Linked DNA regions of Cricetulus griseus. The protein of the gene in region 2 interacts with the protein of the main gene of each other region in a pairwise test. Links are inferred from orthologs where the notes say so. Each region holds a gene or a part of one and is shown on either strand. Other genes may lie near its edges.

Region 1 (4,004 bases), on a different chromosome or scaffold from region 2:
CCTGGCTCAGGCCTCCAGGATGTGAGGCTGGCGTGGGTCAGGAGTGAGGCAGATCAGTTCCTGGAACTCTGGCTTTGGCTCTGGCTGAAGCTGGATGAGCCTTGCTCTTTAAGGATGGACCGGGGCTGGCGAGAGGATGAGGAGAAGACTGCAAAAAAAGGAGAAAAGATAGGTGGGCTTTGGGAGCTAAGCAAACTGCCACTCAGTGGGGAAGGGAGGGTCGGGGCTCTGGGAGGAGGGGTTTGGCCCTTAAATCACAGAATCAGTCTGTGGACCCCCGGGGCCTTACCTTCTCTTTCTCTGGAAGAATAGGAATGGCCAGATGAGTGTTGCGAGGAGGAGATTCTGGGATGAAGTAAACAGGGAGACATGGGAGCGTTAGATGTGCTGGGAGTAGCAGGGGGCAGAGGTGCTGCCAACAGGGGCTAAGGGCCAACTCACTGGGCATCCTCGCCATCCAGCAGCCGGCGGTAGGTGGCAATCTCCTGCTCCAGCCGCGTCTTCACGTCCAACAAGATATTGTACTCCTGACTCTGCTGCTCCATCTCACAGCGCAGCTGAGCCAGCTGCTCCTCCACACCGCTGATCAGACCCTGGATCTGGGCCAGCTGCATGCAGTATCGGCCCTTGGTCTCTTCCAGGCTGCTCTCCAAGGACGCTTTCTGTGAGTGGCGGAAAGGGGGAAAGGTTGGTGGTGATGACCAACTGTGTCTCTGCATTTCTGTCTGGGCACATTTTTTGATAGACACAGGGATCTTGACCCCAGCTGGGGGAAATTGGAGAAATGTTTTCCCAACATTCTGGCTTTCATTTCTCCTTCTCTATAATGGATACCATGACACCACTTCCAGTCTCATGGAATGAAAAGTGGGACTGGATGGTGACCCTCTTGAGGGATGGTGACTAGGGGACCTCACTGGGGCAGGATTCTTCATACCATGCTGAGCTGGGACTGTAGTTCGATCTCCAGGCCCTGGAACACTCTGCGGAGCTCTGACACCTCACTGCGGCCACTCTGTATCAGCTCACTGTTAGAGGCCACTTCTTTGTTCAGCTCCTCAGTCTGAAACAGGAGAGAGGACAAGGTGTGAGTCTCTCCAAAGCCTCCCAGCCCAGGAGTCCAGGAGGAGTACGGGGGAGGTAAGTCCCACCTTGCTCAAGAACCAGGCCTCTGCATCCCTGCGGTTCTTCTCGGCCATCTGCTCATACTGGTCTCTCATCTCATTCAGGATGCGGCTCAGGTCCACGCCAGGGGCTGCATCCATCTCCACGTTGACATCCCCACCAGTCTGACCCCTCAAGGCAAGCATCTCCTAGGAAAGATCATAAGGAGGTGGTCATCTCTCCTGGGAACGTCACTAAATCAGCCTTTCTCCTCCAAAACCAGAAGCAGCCTCACCTCCTCATGGTTCTTCTTCAGGTAGGCCAGCTCCTCCTTGAGATTCTCAATCTGCATCTCCAGGTCGGCTCTGGCCAGGGTCAGCTCATCCAACACCCGGCGCAGGCCATTGACGTCGGCCTCCACGGTCTGACGCAGGGCCAGCTCATGCTCATACCTGGGAGAGAGATCAGAGCTGCAGATGGACAGCCCTATTCTTTTGTCCCTGCGCCCAACCCTCTGCCCTCTGCCCTCTGCCCTCTGCCCTCTGCCCTCTGCCCTCTGCCCTCTGCCCTCCTCCCTCTGCCCTCTGCCCTCTGTCCTCTTCCCGGTGCGATGGCTGCTCACTTGGTCCTGAAGTCATCAGCTGCCAGCCTGGCATTGTCGATCTGCAAAATGGGCTGTGCATTCTCCAGAGTGGCCGCGATAATCTAGAACGGTAGTGAAAAGATAGGTGGTCTGATGAGCCAGTCAGGGACCCTCTGCTCAAGGCAGAAGGATAGAGGTGGGCAAAGCAGTCTCTCCAAATCCAGTGATCACATGGCTGGCAGGTCAGCTCCAACAGCTTCCGCAGACAACTGGCTACTCCGCCACCCACCTCAGGGTATGCATGCAGGGTGCACTTCTGTCTGTCACCACCCCTATCCTGGGCCCAGAGATAAGGAGCTGAGCTTCCACATGAAGTAGCCTCAAGAGCATTAAGAGTCAGAGTCCCTGTTCCAGCTAAGGCAGGGGTGTTCGAAAGGGACCCTCCACCACGTCTCTGGGTAACTCTGAACATGAGCCTCCAAAGGTCTTCAGTCTTCTTCCTTATATATCAGACTCTTAGAAGTGGCTTCCTAAAAGCCACTGCAGCTCTGGCCTCTTACTTCATCCACCAGAGCCACCCACCTTGCTCTTCAGGTCCTCGATGGTCCTGAAGTAGGAGCTGTAGTCTTTGGTCTCAGCGGGCCGCTGCCTCTGGTACCAGTCACGGATCTTCACCTCCAGGTCAGTGTTGGCCTCCTCCAGGGCACGCACCTTGTCCAGGTAGCTGGCCAGGCGGTCGTTGAGGTTCTGCATGGTCACCTTCTCACTGCCCACCAGGAGTCCATCACCACCACCAAAGCCACCACCAATGCCACCACCAAAACCACCACCAAAGCCACCACCAAAGCCACCACCAAAGCCACCACCAATGCCACAGCCAATGCCACCACCATATCCTCCAAAACTGCTGCTGCTGAAGCCCCCACCATAGCTGCTCCCCATGCCGCAGGCTCCCCCAGAGGAGAAGCGAGAGGAGCTGACTGACAGGCCCCCATAGGTGCTGGGAGCCCGGCAGGATCCTCCAGTCAGGACAGAGGAGATGCGGCTAGAACCGCCACCGATGCCACAGGAGCCCTTCATGGAGCTGGAGGAGGTGAACTGGCGGCTGCAGGTGGTCATGTTGTCCAGAGAGGTGAGAGCGTGAGCAAGTCAGCGAGCGAAGGGAAGAGAGAGCAGCTCAGGGAAGGATGTGGATGCTGTGGGTGCCTCAGACACCAGGTTCCTTTATATGCACCTGGGGAAGGCGGGGCCCTCGACTGCTGACTCTAGGTTCCCCTCTGGATTTCGTCACTAAGTCCCGTCCAACTCCCCACTCTGGATTATTCAGCCCAGGGTGGACTCTCCCCTCCATGTGCTGGCTCAGAGTTCCCACCCAGTTCTGGGGGCGTGGAGCCGAGAGAAAAACACACAAATCAGAGTTAGCACTGAGTCAGGCTGGCCAGGCTTCTGTTCCTGAAGCCTGAGGGGACAGCAACAGTGAGGTCTTGATGCCGGCAGCTCTGTGACAGCCGCGTCCTCAGGCAGTGAGTCAACCTCTCAAGCCTCCCTGCCCCACAGTGAGAACCTTAGGTGGCAGAAGCCCCATTGATACCCTCCCAGGCTGTCTTGGGGTGCCATCATGGGATTCTCACAAGCCATGCTGTAGAGCTGGGCTGCTCACTGTGGAACCCAAAGCCCTTCACCTCCCCTCTCTGTGCCTGCTTTCTCTCCGCAGGGACGTGTCTGGGCCGAGTAGCTGTAGTCCTTTCAAGTTCTAAAAATCAAAGGATTCCCTTTCCTATGGGATCTAACTTGGATTTGGAGGCTGCCTTTGAGACGCCAGGATGTTCACAGTGGCGTACACAACAACCATATCCTATGCAGCCACACACCTGACCTGCCTCACTCACTGACCAGTACAGGAGGATTTTGTCACCCCTCTGGGCCTGCAGGATATATAACAGTCACAAAGAAGCATGCCTGAAGGACCCTACCCCAGTGGCCAGCCTCTTCAACCTTCTTTTGCAGGCTAGCTGCCTTTCACACCCGCCTCCATAATCCTGGCCCCTAACATGAGGCTCTGCACCTAAAGAGCATTCATTCCAGTGCACAGCTCCTCCATCCCACCTCTGGCCTCACCTACTCAGGGCCTGCCTCTGTTGTCTGTAGTGGACTGCAGTGGGGGGAAACTCCATCCTGCTCCTAATACTGTTGGTGTGTCCCCACCCCCACCTCCACTCCACCCACCAGGGGCCTCAGAGTCCCCATGTGGAAACCATCTTGCCCAGGGGCTGATCTGCAGCTTTTTGGTGGCCATGGTTCCAGGCTAGGCTTGGTG
Region 2 (4,294 bases):
TCGGCCCTCACTCTTGCTGGCAAACTCATTCACCCTGTTCTGTGGCCAGTATTAACTCCATTCTTACAGAAAGAAAACCAGATGTTAGCCATCACACACCTTTAATCCCAGCATTTGGGAGGCAGAGGCAGGTGGATCTTTGAGTTTGAGGCCAGCCTGGTCTACACAGCGGGTTCCAGGACAGCCAGGGCTACATGTGGTGGTGATACATTATTTATGATTTAATAAAAAGTGTCGTAGGTAGAGAAAGCAAAGCCAGTCATTAGCTCTTAGCTCTACCTCAGGTTGAAAGGGCTGTCCTGTCTCCAGGAACTCTTCACCAAGCCTCAGACTGCTGCCTCTCCTCAGCGTGGCTGGAGAATAAACCTCAGAATTCAGCCTGAGACACTGGGCTCCTGTCTTTTATAAACCTCTCTAGGGCTGGGATTAAAGACATGTGATCTCAAGTGCTGGGATCTAAGGCATGAGAGCTCTGTTACTCTTCACTCTTATGTAGGCCAGGGTGGCCTTGAACTCAGAGAGATCAACTTGCCTATCTCCTGAGTCCTGGGATCAAAGGTGTGTACCACCACTGCTTGGCTTCTACAGCTAAATAGTGGTCTGGCTTTGCTTTCTGATACTTCAGGCAATCTTTATTAAACATAAATGATACATCACCACAGCTTCACAGAGAAACCCTGTCTCAGAAAAAAACATAGCTGTCCTCCCCACCTCCGGCAAATCCTTAACATTCTACCATATCTGGTTCTGATCACAGGCTCACATTTTAAATGCTTGCCCTCAGCCAGGCACGTTATTCACCTTTCATCCCAGCATGAGGAAGTCAGAGGCAGCCAGGTCTCTGTGACTTTGAGGTCAGGCTGGTCTACAAAGAAAGTTCCAGGCAAACCAGGACTACATGGTGAGACACGTTCAAAACAGCAACAAAAAACCAACAGCAAAAATAATTGCTCCCCAGCTGGTGGCACTATTCAGAGGAGCCTGGGTGCCTTTAGTGGTGAGGAATTAGCTCGAGGAAGCAGCCCCCCCCCCCCGGCATGTCATTGAATGTTATAAACCAAACCCTACTTCTAATGGCTTGAGACCATCTAAAGCCAAGAGCTAAAATAGACTTTTTCTCCCTAAATAAATAAAGTGCTTTCCCCATGGACTCTTAGAATCATCTGGCCAACTCATCTGACCAAGGCACCCAAGAATAACCCCACAGATGCAACGGTCAGTTCAGCCTTCAGACACTCCCACTCTGCAACCTTGTTTGGGTCTAGGCTGGTTACCAGTTTCCTTCGTTCTTCTCGGGCTGACTTCAGATCCTTGTGCTGTTCCCTGATTTTTCGTTCCTGCAGGTTCACATTCAACCTCAGCTCTTCCAGCTCAGCGGCCAGCAGGTCCTGCTCCTCCAGCACAAGCTGCCTGAGTCTCTCACGGCGGGCTTCCAGACTCATCCTCTTCTCCTCCTTCATCTTCTCACGATGGTAGGCGTTCATGCTAGGTAAGGAGCCCACTGAGAATCAGCCACACCCAGGCCACAGTTTCATATGCATTTCTATATATGTTGGGGGGCGGGTATTTAAACACAAACACCTACAGAAAAGATGACTGATAGATTTTATCTTTCAAAATGCATGTTATTTCACTGGTTATTCTACACACACACACACACACACACACACACACACACACACACACACACACACACCACCCCATTTCCAGCTAGAATAGCATCACCATATAGATTACTCATGCTGTCACAAGCCACAGTACTTAGGCCCTGAGGCCACATGCCCCCAGCAGCTAATGGTAGGAATCAGCAGGCAGGACATTGATACTTGCCTCCTTTGGTAGGAGGTCTTGGAACTCCATTCGGCCAGTTTGGAGCTGTGGATGTCCGTAGTCTTGAAATAACGGCTGTTCTGCTCCCACTGCTGGCGAAGCTGGGCCTCCTGCTCTTGCTGGCGTTGGCGTGCTACCTTCTTGTCCAGGGGTCTCCGGGTGAGCCAATAAGAGGGCAGCGTGGGGAGCGCCATCTGAAGGGGACATCAGCGGGCAGAATCGAAGCCAGCTGCAAACTCAGGAACTTACTTGGATGGTCTCCTGTCTTTTACGAGGGCGCTCGCCCTTTGGCTGCACCTTTATAACAGCTTTAGGATCCACATTGCCACCCAAAACTTTACAACGAGGCCCAGGCCCGCACGTTTTAAATGATGTGCCACTGAGGCTGCAAATTATCAAATTAAATGAACCTGGACTGTGCCCGGCAGCGAGCCAGCCATTATCAGGGACGTTACCGACACAGACATCTTCCTGACAAGGCCGGGAAAGGCATAAAATGACAGGGGCAAGCAGGGCTCCGCGGCAGGCCCCAGCAGCCCCAAGGACTTTGGAGGCCGAAGCAGGACGAGATCACTTGAGTCCAGGAGTTCAAAGCCAATCTGGGCAAAACAGGAAGCCCTGTCCCCAGAGCAACAAAAGTAACTAAAGGCGATGACTTAGTTATCAGTGTGTGCGAGCACCGGACATGCACCCCATCCGGTGTCCGGAGACCTCCGACCAGCGAAGACAGCGGACGTCTCGGCCCAGCCTAGCCTCTGACTTGTGTTTCCCTGCACCCCAAGTTCTCCAAGAAGAGGCTCCGGCCTAAGCCCGAGCACGCGCTCACCAGATCCGAGAGTTCTGTGGCGCCAGCGGCAGCGACGCCAGCCGTTTCCCCTTCGGTTGCCCGGCAGCCCGCGGGACGACGGAGGCCGCGAAGGCCAAAGTACCTCCTGCACGACGCAGCCGCTCACCAGGAAAAAGAAGGGAAGTTGTTGTTCTGGCGCCCCCTCGCGGTAGGAGGAAAATCGACAGCAAGTGTCGCTAGGTGCCAGAGTGAGTCATGACCCAGAGTCAGGGTGGCGGTCCCCGGGGTGGGGGTGAAAACCAAGGGAATAGGAGAGAGGAGAATTAAGCCCATGTTTCTCAAATAGGGCACATCAAAATCATCCAGGGAGACGCCCCGAGGGAAAAAGAAATGATTTTCAGTGCTCCCTGGGTGTTGCCCGGTAGGCAGCAGAGGCCAGTAACAGCTGGTCTGGGTAATTACAAGTCTTTGGTAAATTCCTACTGATGTCTTGGATTACTGGTGGGTACAGAGGTTTTAATAACTGTAACTCACATGATTGCACGTATTTATGCATTAACTATTCCATTTTTAAAAAAGCAGGGCTGGGGAACTCCGCGATTGTGTGTGCTTAGCAAGTGCAAAGCTCTGAACTCACAATCCCCAGCACCCAGCACCCAGAATGCTGAGACATGAGACATAAGACTATAAGTTTATTATAAGGCCCGGCAGAGTAGGGAGACTAAGAGAAGAGGAACAGGGTAATGGCTGACTGCCATGGTCGGTCACCATAGAGAGACAGAGAGAGAGCATAGGTGGGAGACAGAGTAGAGAGAAAGCAGAGACAAAGCAGAGTGGGGAAACAGAGAGGAAACAGAGAGCATAAATGGGCAGGGACCTGTCCTTTTAAAGGGGTCCTCTGTATCTGCGTGCAGACTTAGTTCCCATGGAATCTTGGGCTGACCAGGGTACTGCCTGTTCCACCAGGTAACAGGAGCAGGCCAGCATAATGCCTGAACCTTTCATTCCCACCTCTACTTATTATTTTAAAAAGGTGGGGTGTTAGACATGGCAGGTTAAGGAATAAGGGCGTCGAATTCTCAAGACTGCTTCCTGCTGATGTGGGGGGCGTTGACCATCTTTGGGGGACCCGAGAAGGTTGGGGTGCTGCCACGTCCTGGGGAAGCTGGTTGTTTCATTGAAGTCCAGGCTGTATGGAACTCCCTGATGCCTCTTAGACCTGGCAAGATGTTGACAGAGCAGAGGACAAGGTTAAGTTTAGAAAAAAATTTTTTCTTAGATCCTGTCACTTGAGGGGAAGATTGTAAGATGAGGGAGGGGTTCCTGAGGAGTCCCAAGATGAATGAAGGGAATTTGGGACCGGGGAAAGGTTGAATATTACATGAAGTGAATCTGACCTGTTTGGATCTGATTCGGCTCCCTGGAACTTACAAGAATCCTTAGAGTTTGTGGAAACATAAGTATTAGACATGTTAGAAGCATATTCATGTTAGAAGCAACTTGGCTGAAAGTATTACCATTTAAAAATAGACAGATTTTTTTGGGGGGACCATGAAAAGCATCTTAATCTTGACCTTGTAGTTATGTTCCTATAGTGGTATTGTTGAACTTTACTATGAACAGTAGCATGAGAAATAGAGAAATCAGGAACATATTTCATTCTTTTACACTTTTCTA

The links.
Region 1: the proteins of Tchp (region 2) and Krt16 interact in binary tests that used the Homo sapiens proteins (3 or more experiments, as listed by UniProt). The link is inferred for Cricetulus griseus from reciprocal best matches to the Homo sapiens genes TCHP and KRT16.

The regions. Positions count from the first base shown.
Region 1 is NC_048600.1:112,353,964-112,357,967, reverse strand, and holds Krt16 (keratin, type I cytoskeletal 16), read right to left. Parts: upstream 2,807-4,004; coding exon 2,270-2,806; intron 1,810-2,269; coding exon 1,727-1,809; intron 1,557-1,726; coding exon 1,400-1,556; intron 1,314-1,399; coding exon 1,152-1,313; intron 1,064-1,151; coding exon 938-1,063; intron 663-937; coding exon 442-662; intron 346-441; coding exon 290-345; intron 149-289; coding exon 54-148; downstream 1-53. UniProt on the Homo sapiens protein: Epidermis-specific type I keratin that plays a key role in skin. Acts as a regulator of innate immunity in response to skin barrier breach: required for some inflammatory checkpoint for the skin barrier maintenance.
Region 2 is NC_048597.1:94,317,711-94,322,004, reverse strand, and holds the start of Tchp (trichoplein keratin filament-binding protein), read right to left. Parts: upstream 2,802-4,294; 5' UTR 2,657-2,801; intron 2,060-2,656; exon of another isoform or gene 2,025-2,059; coding exon 1,831-2,024; intron 1,486-1,830; coding exon 1,275-1,485; intron 1-1,274. UniProt on the Homo sapiens protein: Tumor suppressor which has the ability to inhibit cell growth and be pro-apoptotic during cell stress. Inhibits cell growth in bladder and prostate cancer cells by a down-regulation of HSPB1 by inhibiting its phosphorylation.